3 linked regions of the Elephas maximus indicus genome follow. The protein of the gene in region 1 purifies or fractionates together with the protein of each later gene. This does not show direct contact. Links are inferred from orthologs where the notes say so. Each region holds a gene or a part of one and is shown in the gene's direction. Other genes may lie near its edges.

Region 1 (7,045 bases):
GTCTGAGGGGGCAGGGTCGCCACTCGGATGGACTAGGAGAATGGGGCCGCCAAAATCCAAGAGAGCAGAGTTGCCGTCCCAGTGGGGCTGAAAAGCAGAGTTGAAGCCCAGGGCTCAGGAGCCTCCACCCAGAATCCAGAAAGTGTGGCCAACACCCAGAGTTTGGAGGGCAGGGTCATTGCCTAAATTGTCCCAGGGAATGGATTATTTTCAAGTCTTGAGAGCTAATGTAATGTGTTCTGATGAGTTTTGGACTTGATTGTTCCCTGTTATCCCTTCCTTCCAATTTATCCCATTTGTAATGGAAATGTCTACCTTGTGCCTGTTCCACTGAGCTTTAGAAGCAGGTAACTTGTATTCTAAATTTCACAGATGAAGGGGAATTTTGCAGAAGATTTTTGGGATAATATGGGGTGAATGTCTTTCACATGTGGCAAGGACATGAATTTTAGGGGGCCAAAGGGTGGAACGTTATGGATTGAATTGTGTTCCCCAAAAATTCACATCAATTTGGCTGGGCCCTGATTCCTGGTATTATGTGGTTGTCTCCAACTTTATGGTCGGATGTAATTATGCTTTGTATTATAAATCCTAAGCTCTATGATGTTAATGAAGCAGGATTAGAGACAATTACGTTAATGAGGCAGGACAAAGTCTATAGTATTAGGTTGTACCTTGAGTCAGTCTCTTTTGAGATATAAGAAGCCAGCAGAGAGGAGAAAGACCTCCTACCACCAAGAAAGAAGACCTGGGAGCAGAGTTCAACCTTTGGACCCATGCTGACAAACTCCTAGATCTAGGGGAAGATTGATGACCAAGAGCTTCACCCAGGGCTGACAGAAAGAGAAAGTCTTTCCGTGGAGCTGGCACCCTCAATTTGACTTCTAGCTTCCTAGACTGTGAGAGAATAAATCTGTTTTTTCAAGCTATCCACCTGTGGTATTTCTGTTATAGCAGCACTAGATAACTAAGACAGTGGGGAATGCAATCACAGGCTGAACATCCAGGCCCTGGCTAGTTATGGGACCTGAGCATGGCAGCAGGCTCACTGTGTCTCCTTTTCTCCATTTAGAAATGCATGGTTAGACCAGGAACTTGCTCAGGACTCCCAGAGAGATAATGAGTTGTGTTGGGCCTTCAGGCTGGACAGGATTTTGTCAGGTGGAGAAACCACTCAACTAAGGAGTTATGTTTATCTTTCATATCCCCAAAGAGGGATCTTTGATTGAGAGTCAGGATTCATTCTGGTTCTACTGTTAAATTTGTTTTGCAATGTTTAGGCAAGCCACTCACCCTCTCTGGGCCTCATTTTTCTCAACTGCAAAATGAAAGAATTGAATGAGATGGCCTCTGAGGTCAGTCCAATCAAAAGTCCTCGGCTTCTGATTTTTCCTTTTCTCTGCCTCACATATAAACCTGGGAATACATATTTATTGACGTCTTGAACAGAAAGATAAAGAGCAAACAAACAAACGAAACAGTGCCTTCTGTTTAATGAGTGCTGTAATTTCTGGTATTTATTCTTGCAAGAAATATTTTCTTAGATCCTGGTATGTTCTAGGTATGATGGGGGGAAATGGGACAGAGGCTATACTGACACACAGAGTAGAATATAAAACACAGGAGACGTTGGGGGAGTGAGCAGCCATCTCAGATTGGAGGAGAAAATAAAGGAAGAAAATAGCTACTGAATGAAGCCTTTAAGGACAGGTGGAATTTTTTTAAAGACATTACAAAGGATACATAAAAAATTTCTTGCATTAAAAGGACAAACAATACAGAAGTACATGTAGTAAAATACACAAGTCCCCTTCACTTTTTCCCATCTGTAAAAATGGCACGGCCATGGCACCTCCTCTAACTTCACAAGGTCAAAGGAGTATCATGATCAACAGCCCAAGGCTGATTTCCTACGAGGCAGGGTCAGGCATGCTTCCTCTCTCTGCCGTCTTTACCTCTGACAGCATTCTCTACTTCTCTGCTGGATGCAATAATTCATTGTAATGGCCATACAGAACGCACAGACGATACTCACGATTATGAGGTTTATTAGGGAAGCAACAGGTTACAATTCAGGTCCAGGAACGCTCAGGATATAGTTCTTCCATCAAGACAGCCTCTTCTCAGCCATGCTCCCAGGCATGCCTCTCTCTGGTTCCCTCACCTCTTTCCTGCTTGGGCAAGTGTTAAAAAGATCTTTTAGCTCTGCTGTTAAGTGCCCTGAGGCACCCCACTCCTCCAAGAGGCCTCCATGGGTAGGTGCTTAGCTCTAGCTCTGTGGATCAGCAAACCTAGCTCTACCAAGTGTCTGGAGGCACCCTACTCTTCCAACAAGCCTCCTGCCTGAAGGTGCTCAGCTTTCTCCATCCGTGGGCTGGAAAGTCCACTGCACCGTCTCCTGCTGCCTTTTCTCTGCCACCACTTCTTACCATCTTCAGCGTTATAGCTCTTTATCTTTCTTGGTCACCTGGTTCTACAAGTTTCTCAGTGCAGAGGTCCTGGGTCCAAAGGACGCGCTCCGCTCCTGGTTCTTCTTCCTTGGTGGTGGTGAGAGCCTCTCTTCCCACCTGTGGGATGGCTCATTTTAAGCCTAGCGGGATGGCAAAGCCGATCAATCCCCTTGGTCAGCCACAATTACCTTATTTGCACAGTCCCAACCAATCACTTGGGTGGGAGTTATAGGACCATGGTGAGGAAGGCCACGCTAAAGCGGTCTTTGCACTGCACTATCCCTAGGGATAATCACCGTTAAACATTTTGGCACATGTCCTTCTTAATCCCTTTCCTATACACTTATATACAAAAGTCTACATTACACGTTTAGGATTTTTTATAAAACATATATATGAAATCATGAGGAATTATCCACCTTGCTTTGTTTACTTACACTAGGTTTTGGACATCCCTCCAGTCAGTAGTACCTTGTCTATTTTAAACAGCACATGTTTCTATAGGGTGGCGTTTCAGAAGCAGAACAGTGGGGTCATGGGGTACCTGCGACTTAAATTTTGATAGGCAAATTTTGATAAAATCCAACCCAACCCATGGTTCTTGAGTCGATTTTGATTCATAACGAACTTACAGGACAGAGTAAAACTGCCTCATAGGGTTTCCAAGCCTGTAAATCTTTACCGAAGCAGACTGCCACATCGTTCTGCCGGGGAGCAGCTGGTGGGTTCCAACTGCCGACTTTTGCTTAGCAGCGGCACTCTTAACCACTGGGCCGCCAAGACTCCTTCAAATTTTGATACTACTGAATGACCTTTGGTCGAATGCCAGCATCCCCAAATACTGGGGGTCGTTTGTGCTTTGTAGTCAAAGGAACTCTGAGACCATGACTCACGAGACCTAGTTCAGCACCCTGAGCCTCAGTTTCTCCATCTGTAAAAGGGGATGTTCTACCAGGTCTCTGAGCTCCTTCGGTGACTGGAATTTACATGAAGTTCTGGGGTTGACCATTGACCCATCACCACGTAATTACTGAACCGTACACAAGGAAACCCTGGTGGCGTAGTGGTTAAGGGCTGTGGCTGCTAACCAAAAGGTCAGCAGTTCGAATCCACCAGCCGCTCCTTGGAAACCCTATGGAGCAGTTCTACTCTGCCCTATAGGGTCGTTATGAGCGGGAATCGATCGACAGCGATGGGTTTAGTTTTGGTTTTACCGTACATAAGGTGCTGAGAACTGCGAAAGTATCAAGCTGTCACAGCCTTGCCTTGCCGGACGGTCCTTCACTTCACTTCCGCCTTCCCCAGACGCCAATGAGTCCACAGCAGTTCCTGCCTACAGTAAAAACTACAAATCCCAGAAAGCAATGTCACTGTGCGTCAATCAGGATGGGTGGGCCGCGCCCCTAAAAGCAGAACTACATTTCCCAGGCGGCCTCGGGACCCGCCGATTTTCCTCTGCTTGCGTTGCGTTAGCGTTCTCCCGCCCCTTATCCGCGAGCCTGGCGCCAACTCGGCGCGCGCGCGGGGTACGTAGCCAGCGAGTGACGTATAATATGTGGGCCGCTCAGGAGCCGTGGTCGCGCTGTGTGTGTCTGTGTGTGTGTGTGTGTGTGTGTGTGTGTGTGTGTGTGAGTGAGGGAGAGTGTGAGTGCGGGACTTGAGGCGGTGCGTGTGTGAACTGTGGCCGCTGGCGGGGTCAGGCGGGAGCGGCGGAGCCGCCCGGGAAGGTAAGTGAGGAAGGGAGGGATACGGCTCTCCCAGAGAGGGGCGGAGAGACAGGACGCGCGGGCGGGAGAGTGGGCGCCGGGCTGGGGGAGGGGCGGCACCTGCCTGGGCCGCGGGCGGGGAGGGGGCGGGCCGGCGGAGAGGCTGGGCCCAGGGCTTGACAGTCCCTTTTTCTCCTCTTGATTCTTGACCCGGGGGCGGGGCCTCCATAGTCTTCCTCTAGTCCCCAAAAGAAGCTTCCCGAGAGTACTTTTCCGCCCGGAATAGGGGGCAGGGGCATGCCCGCCCCTACCTGGAGAAGGGGCGCCGCTCATTCCCTTCATCACCTTTTTTCTCAGTCTTCCCAGCCTTCGTTCCGTACGGGCCGGGGGTCTCCATCTCCCCTGCCGTACGGCGGCCCCCTTCCCGGACGGTGTCTCCGCCTCCAGTCCCAGTCACCTGGGCGGTCTCTCCCTCCCTCGGCCTCGTGCCACCTCCCCTTCCGCCCGCCCTGCTCTCGGACGGGGCGGGGGGCGGGGCTTTCCGGGCATTCCTCTCACTCCAGCGGTGGAGGGGAGGGGCCTGGAGAGGTGTGCGGGTCCCTCAGCGTGGGGCCGACTTTCCGGCAGCCTGTTTCCGGGTTTACAGTTTTCGACAGGGTGTCAGAGGTGTTCGCTTAGCTCTTTTCTTTCTAAACGCTCTCCGTCTCGCTTCCTCTTACTGCGGTAGTAGCGCTCTGGGTTCCCATTTGTTGAGAAAGTAGGTTTGGAGTGTTTGTAGTACTTTTTGAGCCCCAAATGGCTCGTCTTTGTCTGCTTTGTGTTGGTCTCAGTCTTTCGTACTTTATCTTTTCATTGAAACATTTTAATTAGCCTACATGTTTTAATTATTAATTCATGTAGCAGCATCTTCCTGTTCTAAACGCTTCTTTAATGTACAGGTTGAAGGGTTCATTGGTAGTAAAAACCACTGCCGTCACCCTGTCATTTGCAGGCGTTTACCTTTAAGGTTTGTGAAGCGTGTATATTTAGACTCTTTAATTAGAAATTGATTTGATATTTTTCTACTTGATGTTGTCAAGATTTGGCTTTGTACGTAGCAGTATTCATTACCCACTTTCGAGTGGCGATAAATTTTTGGATGTTGAGATAATAAGGAGTCCTGGTTGCACAGTAATTAAGCTCTGTGCTGCAAATTGAAGGTCGGAAGTTCGAACCCACCAGCCACCAGGGGCTCCTCAAGAGCAGAGAGTCAGCTCCCGTGAAGATTACAGCCTAGGAAACCCTATGGGCCAGTTCTGCTGTGTTCTATAGGGTCTCTGTGAGTCTGACTCGACGGCACACGACAAGAAAAGAGATAATAGACACAGAATTGGTGGGAGTTTAACGGAGTCATCTTACGCTCAACATCTCTTGGGTAGTTGCTGAATAGTGTTTTACTGTTCTACCTGTTGTATAGCTGTTTAAATAGGGGAGGAATCTGGTAGAATGAACCACTCGTTAATTTGAAGTGGTTGGAGTTGGTTTATTGCCAATTTTCTTGTGTTGTTTTTGTAAAGGAGATGGTCATGGACGGTACTAAATAGGTTATATGTTCTCGTATTTTAATAGTAATTATTCCGTAAATTTTTACTTGAAGCTCTAAACTTGGATTCCCCCCCTCCCCCACAGATGGTTGTTTCAGTATTGTAACGTTTTAAGGGACCTGTCTTTAACATGAGGAGCCTAGTGGACAGTGGTTAAAGCGCTTGGTTGCCAACCAAAAGGTTGGAGGTTGCAACCCACCACCACTTCATCAGCTGCTCTGTGGGAGAAAATGTGGCAGTCTGTGTCCATAATGATTTATAGCCTTGGAAAACCCCGTGGGCAGTTCTACTCTGTCCTATATGGTTGCTGTGACTCCATGACAGTGGATTTAGTTTTTTTGGTTTTGTCTTTAATATGGACTTTATTTTTGGCTTTGGGATAGTTTCTGCAGAATAGGCATTTGCTATTGTGTATTAGAACTAAGAACAGATTTTATGGTTATATTAAAAAGTTACTGAAGGTTATAGTGGGAAAAAGGTAGAGCTGGAGTAAAAAGTGAAAAAATCTCTCTCCTACCTTTATCACCCAGAAAGTTACCTGCCAGAAGAGTAATAGATACAATTAGTTTCCTTATTCTTCCAGGGGCCTTTTATCCTAGAAGGAAGAGAGACAGGTAGGTAGATGTAGATATACACTTGTACACACACCCACCTTTCTCATTCACAATGATAGCATCCATGGGTAGCGCATGTGATTAAGCACTCAGGTACAGTGTTAGCTGAAAGGTTGGCCGTTCAAATCCAACCAGAGGCACCTCAGAAGGCAGGCCTGGTAATGCGCTTCCAAAGGTCACAGCCTTGAAAACCTTACGGAGCAGTTCTACTCTGCGTACATGGGGTTGCCGTGAGTCCGAATTGACTCGATGGCAACTAACAACAAATATGTTTATAGAGTTCTGCCCCTTGCTTTCCTCTCTTGACATGTGTTTGAGAGTTGATCCAATTCAGGAAAGAAAATGCTGCTTAGTTTTTTCCAACTTTTTACTGAGAAAAATTTCAAACATACAGGAAAGTTAAAGAATAGTAAAATGAATACATTTCTACCCATCCAGATTTTTATTTATGTACTGTATTTTTTTTTTTTAAATGTGTTTTCAGTGAAGGTTTACACAGCAATTTAGGTTCCCATTCAACAGTTTTTGCACAAGTTGTTCAGTAACATTGCTTATGTTCTTGACAATGTGTGAACATTCTCTTTTCCTTCTGGTTGTTCCCTTTCTGTTTATTTAGTTTTCCTGCCCCCTTACATTCTTATCTTTGTTTTAAAGTAATTGTTGACCTTTGGTCTTATATAGGTGATTTTTTT
Region 2 (8,079 bases), on another chromosome or scaffold:
AGTCCCTGGAGAAGGACATCATGCTTGGTATAGTAGAAGGTCACTGAAAAAGAGGAAGACCCTCAATGAGGTGGATTGACACAGTAGCTGTAAAAATGGGTTTAAGCATAACAATGATTGTGAGGATGGTGCAGGACTGGACAGTGTTACATTCTGTTGTACACAGGATGGCTATGAGTTGGAACCAACTCGATGGTACCTAGAAACAACAGCTACCGCATGAAATTATTCTGATTAGAGTGGAACTAGAAACCACAAGACCTGGATTGCCAAAAGATCCTTCTCCCTATTCTTCTCTGGTTTGCAAAATTGTATCATTGTTCCCCTCATAGCAAACACTCTAGTAGAGAGATTCCCTCATAACTTCTGCTACCACTTTACCTGTGTAAAGTGATACAGCTCCCAGTGTGATTCCCTCTGCCTGGGAATCAGCCTGTACCTAGCTTGCTGCTCCCCGTGCAGCCTGATGCGCCTGTTTCCTGGAAGCAGATTCCACTGGCGACATATCTATGAGCTGTTCCAATAGTGGCCACTACCATGAAAGGACTAGTCTGGGGGCCAGCTGCTGGGGTCCCTACGTAGTGATGACATTCCTACCCTTCCAAGCTGATGGACACTGGGCACCTCTTTGCTGGCATTTGTCATGGTGGTTCCAAAGGTTTGTCTTGGGCAGAAGTTCTACTGAGCTTTGTCTATAGCTCTGTATCAAAGCCCTCCCCACTTGTAGGATATAGCTTTCTCTTTTCCCACTTCTTGGTTTTTAACATTAACTCTGTCCTCGAGGTGTAGATAGAAAAAGCAGACCAACTGATCCCACAAAATGCTGGACTACATCCTCAGTGTGCCCAGATACACAGCTTGCCTCGGGGAAAAATGCACCCTACGTCACCTAGGCTTAAGAAAACTGACTTTTGAATGTACCCTGGCCAAAACACAAACAGTCTGCTTTAGATCATCAACTTTCTAGTGGTATAGAAATCTCTTCTTGATTTCCACACCAGCTATGGCCACAGATCCACCTTCCAGAGGCAAATCTGGATACCTTATGGTCATTTAGTTATGATGCCCATGCCCACTGGATCTGAGGAAGTCACCTTCATGGACTTCAGACCTTAAGATCTTCATAGTCTTCTTTAGATGGTATTGGACCGTGGTGATGGACTCATGGAAGGGACCCAGGAAATGACCAATCAGTTCATGATGTTCTCCTAAAGGGAGCTAAACCCACATTACCCACTCTTCTACCTAGTTCTTTCAAAAGACCTGTACCTTGCGTTCACATTTCCACAGGAGGAGAAATTTGGAATACTTCTTAACCTGAATCAATCTATTCATAGCTCTAACCCTATGAAGATAACAGCACCACCCTTCTCCCTGTCAACCCAAGGTCCCTCTATTCTGAATTGCTCACACTTTCGGGAACAAACTATGCTTTCTCACACTTTGGCACCTCTACAGTTTTTTTCTTTTTTTTTTTTTTGCCCTAGAATGTCCTTGCCCAGCTTGTCTGACTGGCAAACTCCCAAGTATGCTTAAAACTTTCACTGAAGCACAGCCTCTTTGATGTCAAACACCACTTAAGTAGAGTTCATCACTGTGAACCACCTGTGTACCACCCTTGTGCCTATATGCCTCGTGTTTCACCCCTATCATATCATTAAATGTCTTACCTCCCCTACTGAATCATAAACTTCTTAATAGCAATGACCAGAGCTAGCGTCAGGGATTATTTATTTAACTGTGTAGTCTTGGTGCTAATAGTGTCAAAATTATGTTAGGTGCTTAATGTTTATTGTGTAATTGAATAATAGAATGAGTTCCTAAGAGATTATCCAACCAAAGCCTAGTCCATTACATCTGATTATTCATTATGTCCCCTAGGCCTAGACGTTTCTGGGATAAGGGGATTAGACGAGTGAATGTGTTTGAAATGAGCAATTTTCTTGTTCATTTCTAATTTTCTTTGTGATCAGTACTTTTCCCAGTGGAAAATTAACTTCCTTCCAAAAGGCTCAATTATGAAGAAAAAAAAAATTTTTTTTTTTTTGAGTCCCTCAAAATTGTTTTCCCTCTAGTCCTGCTACATCCTGACTACCTACTTGTTAGTTAAAGCTGGATTTTATAAACTACAGAACAGTTTTTACAATGGCCAAAAAATCAAAAAGCAGACACTCTTACTAACTGAATGGAACCTGCTGAGGAGGTTGCTATTTAAAGTCAACATGGCTCTGGTCTGATTTTAAGTTGTGAGGATTAAATATGATAAGATTTTCAAAAGGATTTTTATAAAGAGATGAATATACAGTATAATTGATAGCGATACATTATCGTAATAAAGTTTGAGAATAATAACTCCTAGTTTTGCCCTGTCCCTTCTCTCTAAAAGCCCAAAGAGTGAATCGTGAATCTATTTGACCTTCATTCGGGTTTGAGGTTATCATTATTTAACAGAATGAGAGACCTACAAGAATTGTAAACACTGTTTTAGAGGTCTATAATATATAAGAATTAATATCATTTTCCAAAGTTTGCCATTTGTCATTAAATTAGCTAAGGATTAGGTAAATTCAAATTTTCTTTAAATTAAGAAACAACAAAATATAAATTGAAACGTTGATAGTTGTATATGAAACGATATACAATAAAATTTCCCTAAATTTTTTTTTCTTTTTTGTTTGAAGTTAATGATTCTTTGTTTCTCTTTATTTAAAAAAATTGTTTTAGGCCCCTTTTTTTCTCATATTTAAGGTGTAAATTATTATTACTAATTTGGCAGTCACCATGACTTTTGGTACTTAGCATTTTTTTGATACTTAACATTTCATAATCATGAAAAAACAGCAGCATATTTAGCTTCTACTAAAATATTTTAAAAATATTTTAAGTGAAAATGTGTCAGGTGTCAGGTTATGTTAAAATTGATTTTTTTGCTTCAAACTTTTTTTGAACATCAGTTGCATGGGGTACTCATTAAAAAAGTAAAATGGTATGAAAACAATCACTTTAAAAGAGGCAGGAAGGAAAAGGGGTGTGAGCTATCCATGGTGGCGTAATGGAAACATGAAATTATACTGGGAATCGGGAAACCTGGGCTCTAGTTTCGTCTTTGCTACTAATTAGCCTTTCTCTTAGTTTATTCTTCTGAACACAGAGTATGTTTTCCCAAGTGCATTTGAATTTGATAGCCTTAGATGACAAGTTTAGCAGAGCATTTCTTGCTGGGGCCAGATCAGGCCTTGTTTCTTCTAAGGGCATGTTATTGGATTGATTATTTTACTGTGGTACTAGCTGTTTTATGGTTGTTGTGTGCCATTGAGTCGATTCTGACTCACAGGACCTTATATGACAGAGTAGAACTGCCTCACAAGGGTTTCCTAGGCTGTAATCTTTACAGGAGCGCACTACGTCTTTTCCCCCAAAGAGGGTCTAAGAGAGGGTCTAGTGGGTACTAAATCGCTGACCTTTTGGTTAGCAGCACGGTGTTTAACCCTTGCGCCAGTAGGGCTCCTTAATATTTTATTAGAAGGCACCTATGGATTTTTTTTTTTTCTTACATTATTGGATATAACTAGGCAAAATTCTACTCTGCCACCCGTGCTCTCTGGCAATGTTCCCTACGCTTCAGGCCTCATAGGAGATCGGGAGACCTTGAGGGAGTCAAGCTGAACCTTGAAACAGTGTTCGGCATTAGTACAGAGGGTGGGGATGTAGCTTGGACTCTGGCTACACTTGGGATGATCTCTGCAGGAGGTTGCTATGGCAATTTGCAAACAGCAGGGCCAATGGGACTCCAGCAGGAGGTGGCTCCCTTACGATTTGGTTTGAGCCTGCGCTTCTTCAGGCCTGTACACTTGGTTCAAGCAAGGGCCTGAAGATATAACGGGGACATAGCATAATGGACTCATGTCCCCAGAAGAACTCCAGAAACAGGGCACCTCTCAGGGAGGAAGTGCACAGCATTGCCTTCTGCAGCTTCATCCGGGATTTGCCCGGCTTCTTTTTTTTTTTTTTTCCTAACTGATGAAGTGGCAAAACCTATGACCTTTGGACAAAGTCGTGTGCCAAGCACTATGGGCGCGCGAGTGCGAGACGGGCAAGAGTTTTTTCACCTTCAAGGGAAAGAGGGGTTGTAGATGGTAAACCAAAAGGGTAGGGAAATTTTGTGTCTTGGAATGAAAGAGGAAAAGACTCGTCTCTGGAGGTGAGAGGAAGTAGAGGTGTCTCTCCCTTATGCCAGAAAGCTGAAAGGAAGGTGTGTTTCTCCCAGTGGCTGCTCTGGGGAAAGGCTCAGAGTTGTAAAGAAATGGGAGGTGTCTCTGATGTTTATTTTTGCCTAGCAACCCACAGCCGACTGCTTCCCTTGCTGCCTTCCACACGCGCCACTCTGCCTCCCCTTGCCATAGCGACTGGAGAGCGGTCACTTGGTGTCAGTAAATCCGGGAGGGTGTGTGCGGTAGAGGTGGAGGTGGGAGGGCGCCCTCTCCTTCGCCCGTGTTCAGGGTCACCCAGCTAAACTGCAGTCCTCCAGGGGGCTTGACTCTTAGAGGTGACCTGCCCAAACTGAGTTATCTACGTGAAAAATTATTGGCGGGGACCGGAAAAAGGGGGGAGGGCAGTATTGTTTGCGAGAACCCATTAGGTTCGAAAATCTGAAGATGCTTTTGTATTTCGGGGCGCGCATAGAAGGAGAGGGGTCTCTGCAGCGATTTCAGTAGCAGTTGCACTGTAGGGAAAAAGAGGGGCGTTGCAGGAGCTGGAAAGGCCGAGGTGGGGAAAAGGTTATTACTGGGGGATCCGAGGGGAGCGGCGCAGATGGCCGGAGGGGGAGGCGGAGGCTGCAGAGTTTTCCGGGGAGTGGAGGGGTGGTTATGAAGATGATTTAGTGGGGGAGGGACTCCTGAGGGTGGCTGGATGGGGGTGGGGTGTACGTGAGGGTGTGAGGCTAGGGTGTGGGGGGAGTCCGGGGGAGGGGCTTGCAGCGGGAGTGGGGAGCGGGGGCGGGGCTGCCCTCCTGGTCCGCGCCGCGGGCTGGGGCCGGAGTGTGTGTGCGCATTTGTGTGTGTGTGTGTGTGTGTGTGTGTGCGCGCGTGTGTACGTGCGTGCGCAGGGGCGCGCGCGCGGGCGCGCGAGCGAGCCCAGGAAGAAGCTCCCGAGCGAGTCGGTCTTCGCGGCCCAGGCCGCTCCCCCGCGCCCCTATGTGAGGGAATCGGGGAGAAAAGCGGCGCGCAGGGGAGGGCGAGGCATGTGCACGGGCCGGAGGGTGCTGCAGCCGCCCGAGGAAGAGGAGGACGGCGGCGGCGGCGGCGAGGAGGAGAGCGGGGTGCTCGCTGCTGCGGGCCCGGGCCGAGGGGATGCAGCGGACTGTGTGTGTCTGCCTGTAGCTGACGCGAGGCGGGGAGGAGGCGCCGGAGACCCGCGTGAGGAGCGACCAGGAGGCGGCGGCGGCCTCGAGAAGTAGCGGCAGGAACAGCAGCGGCGGCGGAGACGGCAGCTCTGAAATGCATTTTCCTTTCCAGCGGCCATGTTAACCAGGAAACCTTCGGCCGCCGCTCCTGCCGCCTACCCGACTGGTAAGGAGGGCCGGGCCGGCGAGCCGACCCCGGCGCCCGCCCCTGCCAGCCCCGGCACAGCCCCGGGCGAGCCCTCGTGGCGCAGGCGGCCGCCGCCGGCTGGACCTGGAACAAAGTCTCCGGCGCAGCCGGGCGGCGCGGGGGAGCCCCCCGGGCGCACGGCGCGCCCTCGCTTCGGCTCTGCTCATTGTTGCTCGCGGGGCTGAAGGTTCCTCCGAGAGGGAGTGCGCCGGCCCAGCCGTGGTCCGGCCCGTCGGGGTTCGGGCGGGGGCCGTCCTGGGCCTCCCCCAGCTGGAGCCGACGAGAGGGGACAGCTCGGGGCCTGGGGAGTCTGTTGAGCCCTCTTCGGCGGCGCTAACCTCTCTCGGCCAGCTGCTGCCTGCAGCGTGGGCCGCGAAGCCCCGGCCTAGCTCGGTTTTTCCAAGGGGTCGCGAACTCGCGTGCGAGGACCAGACTTAACTTTGCAGCTGCCTGGGCTCCGCCCGTGGGTGCGCGCTGGAGATCCGCGCCCCGGACCTCCGTTCCGCCGCTCACTACCCGTTTTTTACTTTCCCGGTTTCTCTCTCGGGGAGGGGGGGTTTGCTACCCAGAGGGGTGGGGCGGGGCGACGGGGTCCGGGTGATTTTCTACCCCCTGACCCTCTTTTGTCTCCTCCTGCGCGTGGTCCCAGGCCGAGGAGGGGACATCGCCGTTCGTCAGCTTCAGGTTTCCCCGGGGCTCGGTGCAGGGGCCCCCCGGAGCGGAGTGGGGACCGGCCCGCCCTCCCCCATCGCCCTGCCGCCTCTCCGGGCCAGCAACGCTGCCGCCGCAGCCCACACGGTGAGATCCAGCCCGCGGGCGGCCGGGGGAAGGTCGGGAGGGGGCCCGGGGCAAAAAACTCCGGACTTGTGGGGCTCTGACTTCCGGAGAAGAGAGGTCGAAGTGAGCGGCTCCACGCCCCTGGCCAGTGGCCTCTTGACGCCACCCTCTGTAAGTTGGGCGAGCGCAAAGCTGCAGCCACAAAGGAAGATTCCTGGCGTGGGCCCTCACTTCCCCTCCCGAGCCCGCCCACCGCTGCCCTCCTCTTCCTCGGAACTTCCTCCTTGCCGCTTTCCTTCGCTCTTCCCTCTTTTTTCCTTCTTGCTTCCCAGAGCTCCCATCCCTGACCGGGTAAACATCCCTACCCCCTTGTGGGTAGTGGGTATTTATAGAAACAGATATGTGTTAGGGGACAGCCGGCCGTCCAGCCCGGAAAATCAATCCCCCAAAGAGCCTCTCAGGCCTCTCCAGCCAGCAGGGAGCGCTGCCAATTGTACCCCGCGTGTGTAAGCATGTTTTATGAGTGCTACAGGTTTGAGCGCAGCAGAAATTGTAATTAACAGTAACGAAAATAAGAGCAGCAGCAGCAGTCAAAACAAAACAAACCACCCCTTTAGGATTCTGCAGTTGGGCACTATTCTAAAGGAAAGAGTCAGCTTTGCTTTGGAGATGGGAAGGGAAGGGCACCTGATAGGTGCTGTGGGTCCCTAAGGGGGCCAGAGGGAAGGGAGAGCTCAGCATGGAACTGGTGGCTGCAGAGATTGGCAAACTGGATTTGACTTCAGCATGTACCTTTTCTCAGCTCCCAGGGACTGCCCATGGATGGTGACTGCCAGCGGAGAGGAGGCCTGCGCTTGGAGGAGGTGATGGTTTCAGAGGTCTTTTTCCAGCTGGATTTTCCAGAGAAACTGCCTAGGATGGTTCTGTATGAGGGATGCTTGCTAGGGCTGGTTTGCCCAGTGAAAGTTGAAAAGACCATTTCTAACCCACAAGGGAATAGCTCTGAGGGCCACGTATGTGTTATGGGCAAGCTGTTTATCAGAGGAGAATTTGTGAGAGGATGACTGGAGTGGAGTTAGGCCTGTTAGACCTGGAGAAGCGTGTACAAGTTTCATAGGAAAACGTTTTGTTCTCAGTTTTTGTTGTTGTTGTTCCTTTGACACAATTAGTCCCAGGGGCTAGGGGCTAGGAATTCACTACAGAGAAGTCGACTAACCTGTATTGGATGTTGACAGTAGAGTCATGTCAGTACCATAGGTGATGCTGTGTATTATGGTTGAATGTTCTTGTCACAGTGTCGTTTCAGTGGAGGAACTGCATTGGTTTTAGGGGTTTGTATTTTTTTGGTTTGGTTTCAAAACATCTGAGAATTTGGAAAATACAGCACCCAACTTTCTTCACGTGGTGTTGTCATCATATAACTTGGTGTGAACTGGGAAAGAAATACTTGGTTTGCGTGTGGCTTCCAGTTTTATAAAGTTGGGCTTTGCTTGATCAGAGACTCTTTGTCATTAAAACACACAGTGAATTTAGAGAAAACGAAAGGTTTACACTGGGAGAAGAGCCTGTGGTTCACCCCAAATGAAAAGATGTGGGCGTGCTTCTCAGAGCTCCTAATGATGGGTGTGTGTATTTTGTTGTGGCAGCTGCCTGATTTACCTGATTTTAGCTTAAGTGAACTTCAATATGTTGTTAATAATTAGATGCCTGA
Region 3 (7,841 bases), on another chromosome or scaffold:
CAAATCCCTGGCCTAAAAGTTAGAATATATTCAAGGTTATCCCTGTAATCACATCTCTTTCAATCACTTTATCCTTGAGAGGAAGAAAGAAGGGTGGAATTACTCTTAGCTATTTTGAAATGAGTGTGACGTTTATCCTGGTCCATTTGCCACTATCCAGGTATTTAAGCTTCAGTGTGCATCAGCATCACCTGCAAGCCAAAAACCAAACCCATTGCCATCGAGTTGATTCCAACTCATAGCGACCCTTTAGGACGGAGTAGAACTGGACCGTAGGGTCTCCAACGAGCGGCTGGTGGATTCGAACTGCAGAACCTTTTGTAGCAGCCAAGCGAATTACCTGCAGGGCTTACTAAAACAGATTGTTAAGCACCACCTTCAGAGTTTCTAAGGTAGCAAGTGTAGAGTGGGGCCCAAGAATTTGCATTTCGATCAAGTTTCCAGGGATGGTGATGCTGCTCTGGGAACTACAGTTTGAGAACCACTGCCACAGTCTAAGAAAACATTGTGGGTATTATGAATTGCTGTAATGCTTTACCTCTCTGCAATATGTTTTGGGCTCTCATTAAAATCTGCGTACACTTACGGAAACATGTCCTATGTGTCAAAATATCTGTCTTGTGTACCACAAGAGATCAAAGATTGAGGGCCACTTGCTGCCATGAAGTGTTCAGGGGCATTGCCATCTTCGAGTGACAAGTGTTAAACTCATTCATCTAAACACGTCTCATGTCCACCAATTTATTTCCATCTCAACTTTTAAAGTGCAATTACTACTATCCTATCTCATGTCAACTACTCATGTCAGCTCCTAACTGGCTCTCTGAAGTTATCCACCTGAAAGCAGACTAGTTTTTTCTGAATGTAATCCTATCACACTACCCCCTTGCATAAAACTCGCTGATGGCTTCTCAATCTTCTCAGGAAAAAGCCGAGTATCTCTAACACAGTTTACAGGAGATGAGCCTGTAAAAATGTCATGATGCCAGACCTCGTCTAACTTCAGAGAGAGAGAGAATTACCATCGACATCAGCCCAAGGCTGATCCCTGTGAGGCAGAGGTCAGACATACCTCCACTCTCCAGACTTTTTACCGATTCTGACACCAGATGTCCCTCTGAAAGCACTCTCTATTTCTCTGCTGGGTTCAACAATTCATTGCACTGGCCACACAGAATTCATATCCTATACTCACAAATTCTGGGGTTTATTAGGGAAGTAACAGGTTACAATTCAGGCTCAGGAATGACTCAGGATACAGGTCTTTCATCGGGAACATCTTCTCGGCCATGCCTGAAGGCAGGCCACTCCATGGGCGGCTTGCCCCTCAGCCTGGTCTCTGCCCTGCTAGGGCAAGTGTTACGAAGCTTTTTAGCTCCACCAATAAGTGCCCAGAGGTCCCCCACTCCTCCAGGAAGCCTCTTGTATGAACGCTCTTAGCTCTCTTGCTCAGTGGGCTGGGAAGCCCACTGTAGCCACCTCGCTCCGTGGGCTGGGAAGTTTACTGTGCCATCTTGCACCAGTCTCCTAGTTTTGCTGCTGCTGATTCTCTGCCATTAGACTCTGCCATGCTTGCCGCCACTTCTCACTATCTTTAAGCCAGCACTGGTGTTACAGCTGTCTTGTCTCCTGGGTGTAGGAGCTTCTCAGCACAGGGACCCTGGCTCCAAAGGACGTGTTCTGCTCCTTGCTCTTCTTGATGGTACAAGTCACCCTCTGCTTCTGGGATTGGCTCCCTTTAAGCCTAGTGGGATGACAAAACTGACCAATCCCCTATAAGGGTTCCAAACACCTTATTTACATAGTCTCACCCCTGCAGGTTTCCACGTACCTTATCTGCATTATTAGCAGGCTGTCCAATCCCCTTGGTCCGCAAGCACCTTATTTGCATAATCCACCCAATCATTTTGTGGGAATCCCAAGATCATGGCTAGAAGGGCCATTTAAAGTACAGCTCCTTGATGTACACCCAACCCTGGACAGGTGAGACCAACAGATTATTAGTCACATATACTCACATCTTGCAAGAGGAGGACATCACATGTCTTGCAGGGCCACGTAGGGTTGTACTTGGGAGCAAAGTGAACAAGCAGGGGCTGTGGGAGGCAGGCTTTGCAGCGCCAAGTGGGTGGCGTGCCCCTCGTTCTGATGGGAGAATATGATTGGCTTGTGACATGGAATATAAAATCAAGTGGCATCTGACCTCAAGTAAAATGGCTGAACTAATGCTATGGCTCAGTGTAACCTTTCACACAGATTCCAACACTATTGCTTAGGAACCATCCCTATCATTAAGGAAATGGTTTTCTTGGTTAAAAAAGTAGATACTGTATGTCCTGTGGTCTATAACTAAACCATATCTAAACCCTTTGTTTCAGATCCCCTCAGGAGATTTTATGCTCTGGGCAAGGTAATGTTAACACTTTCCCAACAGTATCCACCACGCCATTTTTTTGTGACGGTCATGACACTCCCTCTGAGACCACATACCTTGCAATTATGTCCTTCAGCCAATCAGTGTATTCCAGCTGTATTAATGTAACCAATAATGTTAAAAATCACGCTTTGCTTTGTCCCGCCTTTGATTGACCTAAATCATTGTGAACCAATCAGAATATTGTGTTCTGTAGTTCTTCCTATGGCACTATAGCTATGTATGATTTGCACCCCCTCCCTTGGATCTGTGAACTTCAGACTCTGAGGTTTCCAAGATCCCCATCTGAATGATATATTGGCTTCAATAAATCCCTTTGATTTTACTTTAATAGAGTTGGAGAGTCTGTTCTCTACAACACTTGTTTGAGTAATTCCCCAATCTGGCAGGGAACTAAAACCCAATATTCAGGAACTGTGCCTGGTACCTTAGATAAGAAAGGTTGTTTAGGTAGGGCACCTTATCCGCAAGAGCAGAGTGGGTAGGGAAACATGCGGTGAGGCCATTTGAGGCCCTTATGGTTTCAGATGTCAAGGCAGCACATAATGAACCTTAATTTTAGGTCTTACACCACATCCATGTCTACCTTGCAGTCTCACCCCATACCACTGCCCTCAAACCCCAAGGACCTGCATTTAGTTCCTCCCTCAAATAGCATGCTCCCTCCCATACGAGGGTCTTGGCACATGCTGTTCCCTCACATAGGAAACTTTCTTTCCTTTTTTGCTTATTAACTCCTGCCCTTCCTTCAGAGCTCTGTTTAAGTGTTATTTCCTCAAGAAAACCTTCCCTGTCACTGCCATGTTGCATGATCTTAGAGAACCAAGTTCCATTCCTAAACAGCACTGACCCCTTTTTTCTAGTCTTTATTGCATGAAAGGAGGACCATAGCTGTTTTTACTCACGAGTGTATCCCCAGTGCCTAGCACAGAAACTAGCACATTGTAGGTGCTTGTCTTAGTTATCACAAATACCACAAGTGGATGACTTTAACAAACAGAAATTTATTCTCTCACAGTATAGGAGTCTGAATTCAGGGTGCCAGATCCAGGGAAAGGCTTTCTCTCTCTGTTGGCTCTGGGGGAAGGCCCTTGTCATCAATCTTGCCCAGGTCTAGGAGCTTCTCAGCACAAGGATCCTAGCCAAATAACACTTTGTTCTTCTGGACATCTTGGTATGATGTCCCCTTGACTCTCTGTTTGCTTCGATCTTTTATATCTCAAGATACAACATAATCGTGTAGATTGATTCCTGCCTCATTAACAAAACTGCCTCTAATCCCACCTCATTAACATCACAGAGGTTAGGATTTACAACCCCTAGGAAAATCACATCAGATGACAAAATGGTGGACAATCACACAATATTGGGAATCATGGCCTTGCCAAGTTGACACACATCTTGGGGGGACACAATTCGATTGGTAACAGTGCTCAATAAATACTAGTTGAAGTTTTCGCAATGAGTATTTATTCAGTCCCTAATATGCACTAAATCCTGTGCTAGCCCCGAAAACGGAATGGAGTTAAGACAGATGCTTGATTTCATGGAACTCACTAGCAATGGATACGGTACTAATTAAAAAAAAAAAAAAAAGAAATGGCCACATGAGCAGTACAAACTGCTTAGGGAGTAGAGTGGTGAAGGGACAGATCAATTCCAGAGACGAAAAACCAAACCCATCGCTGCGGAGTCAATTCTGACTCATAGGGACCCTACAGGACAGAGTGGAACTGCCCCCATAGAGTTTCCAAGGAGCACCAGGTGGATTCGAACTACCGACCTTTTTGGTTAGCAGCCTTAGCACCTAACCACTACACCACGAGGGTTTCAATTCCAGAAAGGAAAACCAATTTATCCATCAAGTATCTAACGTATAGTTCTATGTGCTAGGCACTGTTCTAAGTGCTGTAGGTTGTTGACGTCACTGTGCGAATTTTACATGTGGGGAATCGGAGGCACAGGCCGATCAAGTAAGTTGCTCAAGGTCACACAGTTCCCAAGCAACAGAAAGGGGATTTCTAACCCAGACTGCCTGGCTTCAGAATCTATGCTCCACTACCTCATAGGAGAAAACTTTCGGAAGAGGTGGTCAGTGAGCCGGGTCTGAAGCATTTGGCTAGGTGGATAAACGGGGCAGCCATCCTAACAGAAGCTGAAAATATGACCTACATTATGAGTTTTGTTTCTCCCTTTGGCTCAAGATGGCTGTGGGGACCTATTACACTAGAGCACAGGATTAAAAAAAAGAGAAATTTAATTTCCGGCTACGGCGAGTACCGGAACGGTTTCCACGGAAACAGTAACCGGGTCCCAGGCAGGTGAGCTCTCGCGGTGCTTGAGCAGGCGGAAGTGACGACACACCCTTCGGTAGGCCCTCGGGTGAACCGGTGCCGCCCCTCCTCCCCGAGCGGCCGCTTTTTCCCGCCGAGCTGCCTCTGCTGCTTGGGCAGCCAGGGGGAAACATGGCGTCTGCCCTGGAGCAGTTCGTGAACAGTGTCCGGCAGCTCTCGGCTCAAGGTGAGGCCACGGGCCGTGGCTGGGTCTGGCGCGCCCGCCAGGCCCCCAGGTGATGGGGCTGTGGCCCCGACGCCGGCGCGGACGGGCGGGCTGCCCTTTTCGTCCCGAGACCCTTGTCTGGGACTGGGCTCGAGGCGGCGGCGCTGAGACCGAGGGCCGGGCGCTGCTGACTGAGCCGCCCCCTTCGGTCTCAGTCTCCATCGCCGCCGCTACCCTCGGGGCCCGCCGCCAGCCCTCCCTTGGCCGCGCGGACCCTCTCTTTCGTCCACCCGGCCCGGGCCCCTTCCACGGGGCGCTGCTCTTGACAGTTTGGGGGCGGCAACTTCCGCCGGACTCTTCCGGGCGCCCATTGGCCCCTTCCTTCGCCCTTCCCGTCGGTGATTGGTGAGCTACCTGTCGGTCCCGGCAGCCCTGGGCCGCCTGCTGACTAGGCCGCGGGGCCGGGCGGGCAGCGAAACAATCCAGGGCGCCCGGCGCCACGGTTTCAGCATCGCCTGCGTCCCCCCGCCCGGCCCCTGCGGCTGTTGACCGGCTCACGCCCGGGACGCCTCTGCGCGCCTATTTGAGTCCTACAGATGCAGAAGACACCCTCGCTCATAGGACTCCATTTCTAGGGGTAGAATTGTTCCCGTTATTATTTTCCTCTTAATTTCGCTGTTAGGCTCATTCATCTCAACATCTGAACGTAGAGCACCGGCCAGACTCCTGGACTCAGGAGTTAGAGAAATTAGATACTAGATGCGAAGGCCCCTTTAGCTATCTCGTGCTATCTATAAAGTTATGAGGATTCGGTGAGAGAAACCGTGTATAAAAGCACTTGGAACAGTGCCTGCCATATAAAGGGCAATAAGTAAAGTTAAAAATTATTGTTAACAGCCATTAATTGTAACATGCTAGGAGCTGTGCGATCTTGGACGAGTCACCTTTAATCTCTTGAGTCTCCTTTGTAAAAATGAAGATGTGATATTTCCCTCCCTGTTATTGTAAGCCCTGAATGATCTGCTGTGTAGCCGTGCTTAATACATAATAGTTCTCGCTCATTTTCCTTATTAGTGATAGAAATTTGGCTCACAGAAGAGGGATAGACTTGCATTTCTGTATGAATGAGGGAACCGTTCATTTATTCCACACACACTTAGTTTGTACTTCCTGCGATGTCATGTGGTTAGAAGAGCCCAGTTGGAATCTCAGTCGCTTAATTTCTCTGGCACAATTTCCTTTTTTATAAAATGGTAATAGGACTGTTGTGCAAATCACATGGGATCCCTTACCTGAAAGCTTTGGGTACATACTTGGCAAGACACCGTTTTAGGGGCAGTCTGCCAGTCAGAGGTGAGTATAATACACTCACTGCCCTCAGTTTCTGTGCCTCCTGCTCACTGCAGATTAAATGATTTTTTTGCTATTTTCTCTGCTTTTATTCAGAATTTTCTAACATGGACCTTAAATGATGGGGATGTTATAATTACCAACTTTCTCTAACTAGAGGGAATTTCATAGGCAGCATCTCTGGTTGTGTTCATTTCAGTGCACCTTGACGCACTGAAACTGACTTTTGACTTTCCTCTTGGCTGGGCACTATCATGATTTTCCGGTGGCCCAGCTTATATTTGTCTCAACTTGGCCTGGTTATTTAATTGGAGGGAAAATAATGGGCTGAAATGCTTGCTTCTGGATGTGTCATATTGTTGTAAATGTATTTAAAGAAAAAAGGGGCAAGTAATTCAACTAGAAGAAGCTGATTATTTCATACCTACTAGTGAGATCTATGGAGCCCTGGTGGTACAGTGGTTAAGAGCTGGGGCTGCTAACCAAAAAGTTGGCAGTTCGAATCCACCAGCCACTCCTTGGAAACCCTGTGGGGCAGTTCTTCTGTGTCCTATAGGGTTGCTCTGTATCAGAATCAACTTGATGGCAACAGGTCTGGTTTTTATTTTTTAGTGAGATCTCTGATAAAATGATGGTGACATGATAGTTCTCAGTTCAATCTGTGTTTTTATCTTGAAACTTGATACCTAATAAGATCATGGGTATATGTTTATTCTTGTTTTGTGATGCATGTAATAATAATGAAATGTTTCCTTTATTTTTTGGTAAAAGTGATCAAATCTAAAAAGTATGGTATAGATACCCCAGAAATTAAATTATCAAGGTGCGTGGCTACAATCGCTTGGATTTTAAGCATTATTCTATTTAAGTGTTTTATTAAGAAAGGAAACATAACACAGCTACTAAATAGAAATAGCTAATATTGGTACCTTGAAGTTCAAAATGTAGAAGAGAAACATCGAAGGAGGAAACTTAAGAGACTAATGCCCATGGACTTGTATATACACCTACCACTCTCAATAAAACAGCCAGTAGAATATGGTAGTATACAGTGTGACCATGGCATCTGTCATCAGAATAATTATCAAAATGGGTAAGTCCACTCAAAAGGAACAATTCAAGCCCAATTAAATTCTGTACCTTAGTTGTTAAAACGTAACAGTGTTGTTGTTAAGTTGTTGTTAGGTGCCCTTGAGTCGGTTCCAACTTATAGGGACCCCACACACAACAGAACGAAACACTGTCCAGTCCTGCGCCATTGTCACAGTTGTTGGTATGCTTGAGTCCATTGTTGTAGCCACTGTGTCAGTCCATCTCGTTGCGGGTTTCCTTCTTTTTCGCTGACCCTCTCTTTTACCAAGCACTGGGGACAGATCCCTCCTGATAACATGTCCAAAGTATGTGAGATGTAGTCTCGCCATCCTTCTAAGGAGCATTCTGGTTGTACCTCTTCCGAGACAGATTAGCAGTCTATGGTATATTCGGTATTCTACACCAATACCACAATTCAAAGACGTCAGTTATTCTTCGGTCTTCCTTATTCATTGTCCAGCTTTCA

Evidence for each region. Proteins that work in one complex are often made in the same cells at the same time.
Region 2: the proteins of DCAF1 (region 1) and DYRK2 purify together in Homo sapiens (affinity purification with western blotting; 5 studies listed by BioGRID and IntAct, with this or other methods). This does not show direct contact. The link is inferred for Elephas maximus indicus from reciprocal best matches to the Homo sapiens genes DCAF1 and DYRK2.
Region 3: the proteins of DCAF1 (region 1) and COPS3 purify together in Homo sapiens (affinity purification with mass spectrometry; 5 studies listed by BioGRID, with this or other methods). This does not show direct contact. The link is inferred for Elephas maximus indicus from reciprocal best matches to the Homo sapiens genes DCAF1 and COPS3.

Annotation. Positions count from the first base shown.
Region 1 is NC_064838.1:55,676,581-55,683,625, reverse strand, and holds the start of DCAF1 (DDB1- and CUL4-associated factor 1), read left to right. Parts: upstream 1-3,985; 5' UTR 3,986-4,177; intron 4,178-4,606; exon of another isoform or gene 4,607-4,913; intron 4,914-7,045. UniProt on the Homo sapiens protein: Acts both as a substrate recognition component of E3 ubiquitin-protein ligase complexes and as an atypical serine/threonine-protein kinase, playing key roles in various processes such as cell cycle, telomerase regulation and histone modification.
Region 2 is NC_064822.1:128,254,285-128,262,363, forward strand, and holds the start of DYRK2 (dual specificity tyrosine-phosphorylation-regulated kinase 2), read left to right. Parts: upstream 1-5,030; 5' UTR 5,031-5,521; coding exon 5,522-5,570; intron 5,571-6,240; coding exon 6,241-6,389; intron 6,390-8,079. UniProt on the Homo sapiens protein: Serine/threonine-protein kinase involved in the regulation of the mitotic cell cycle, cell proliferation, apoptosis, organization of the cytoskeleton and neurite outgrowth. Functions in part via its role in ubiquitin-dependent proteasomal protein degradation.
Region 3 is NC_064820.1:215,229,480-215,237,320, forward strand, and holds the start of COPS3 (COP9 signalosome complex subunit 3), read left to right. Parts: upstream 1-4,792; 5' UTR 4,793-4,899; coding exon 4,900-4,954; intron 4,955-7,841. UniProt on the Homo sapiens protein: Component of the COP9 signalosome complex (CSN), a complex involved in various cellular and developmental processes.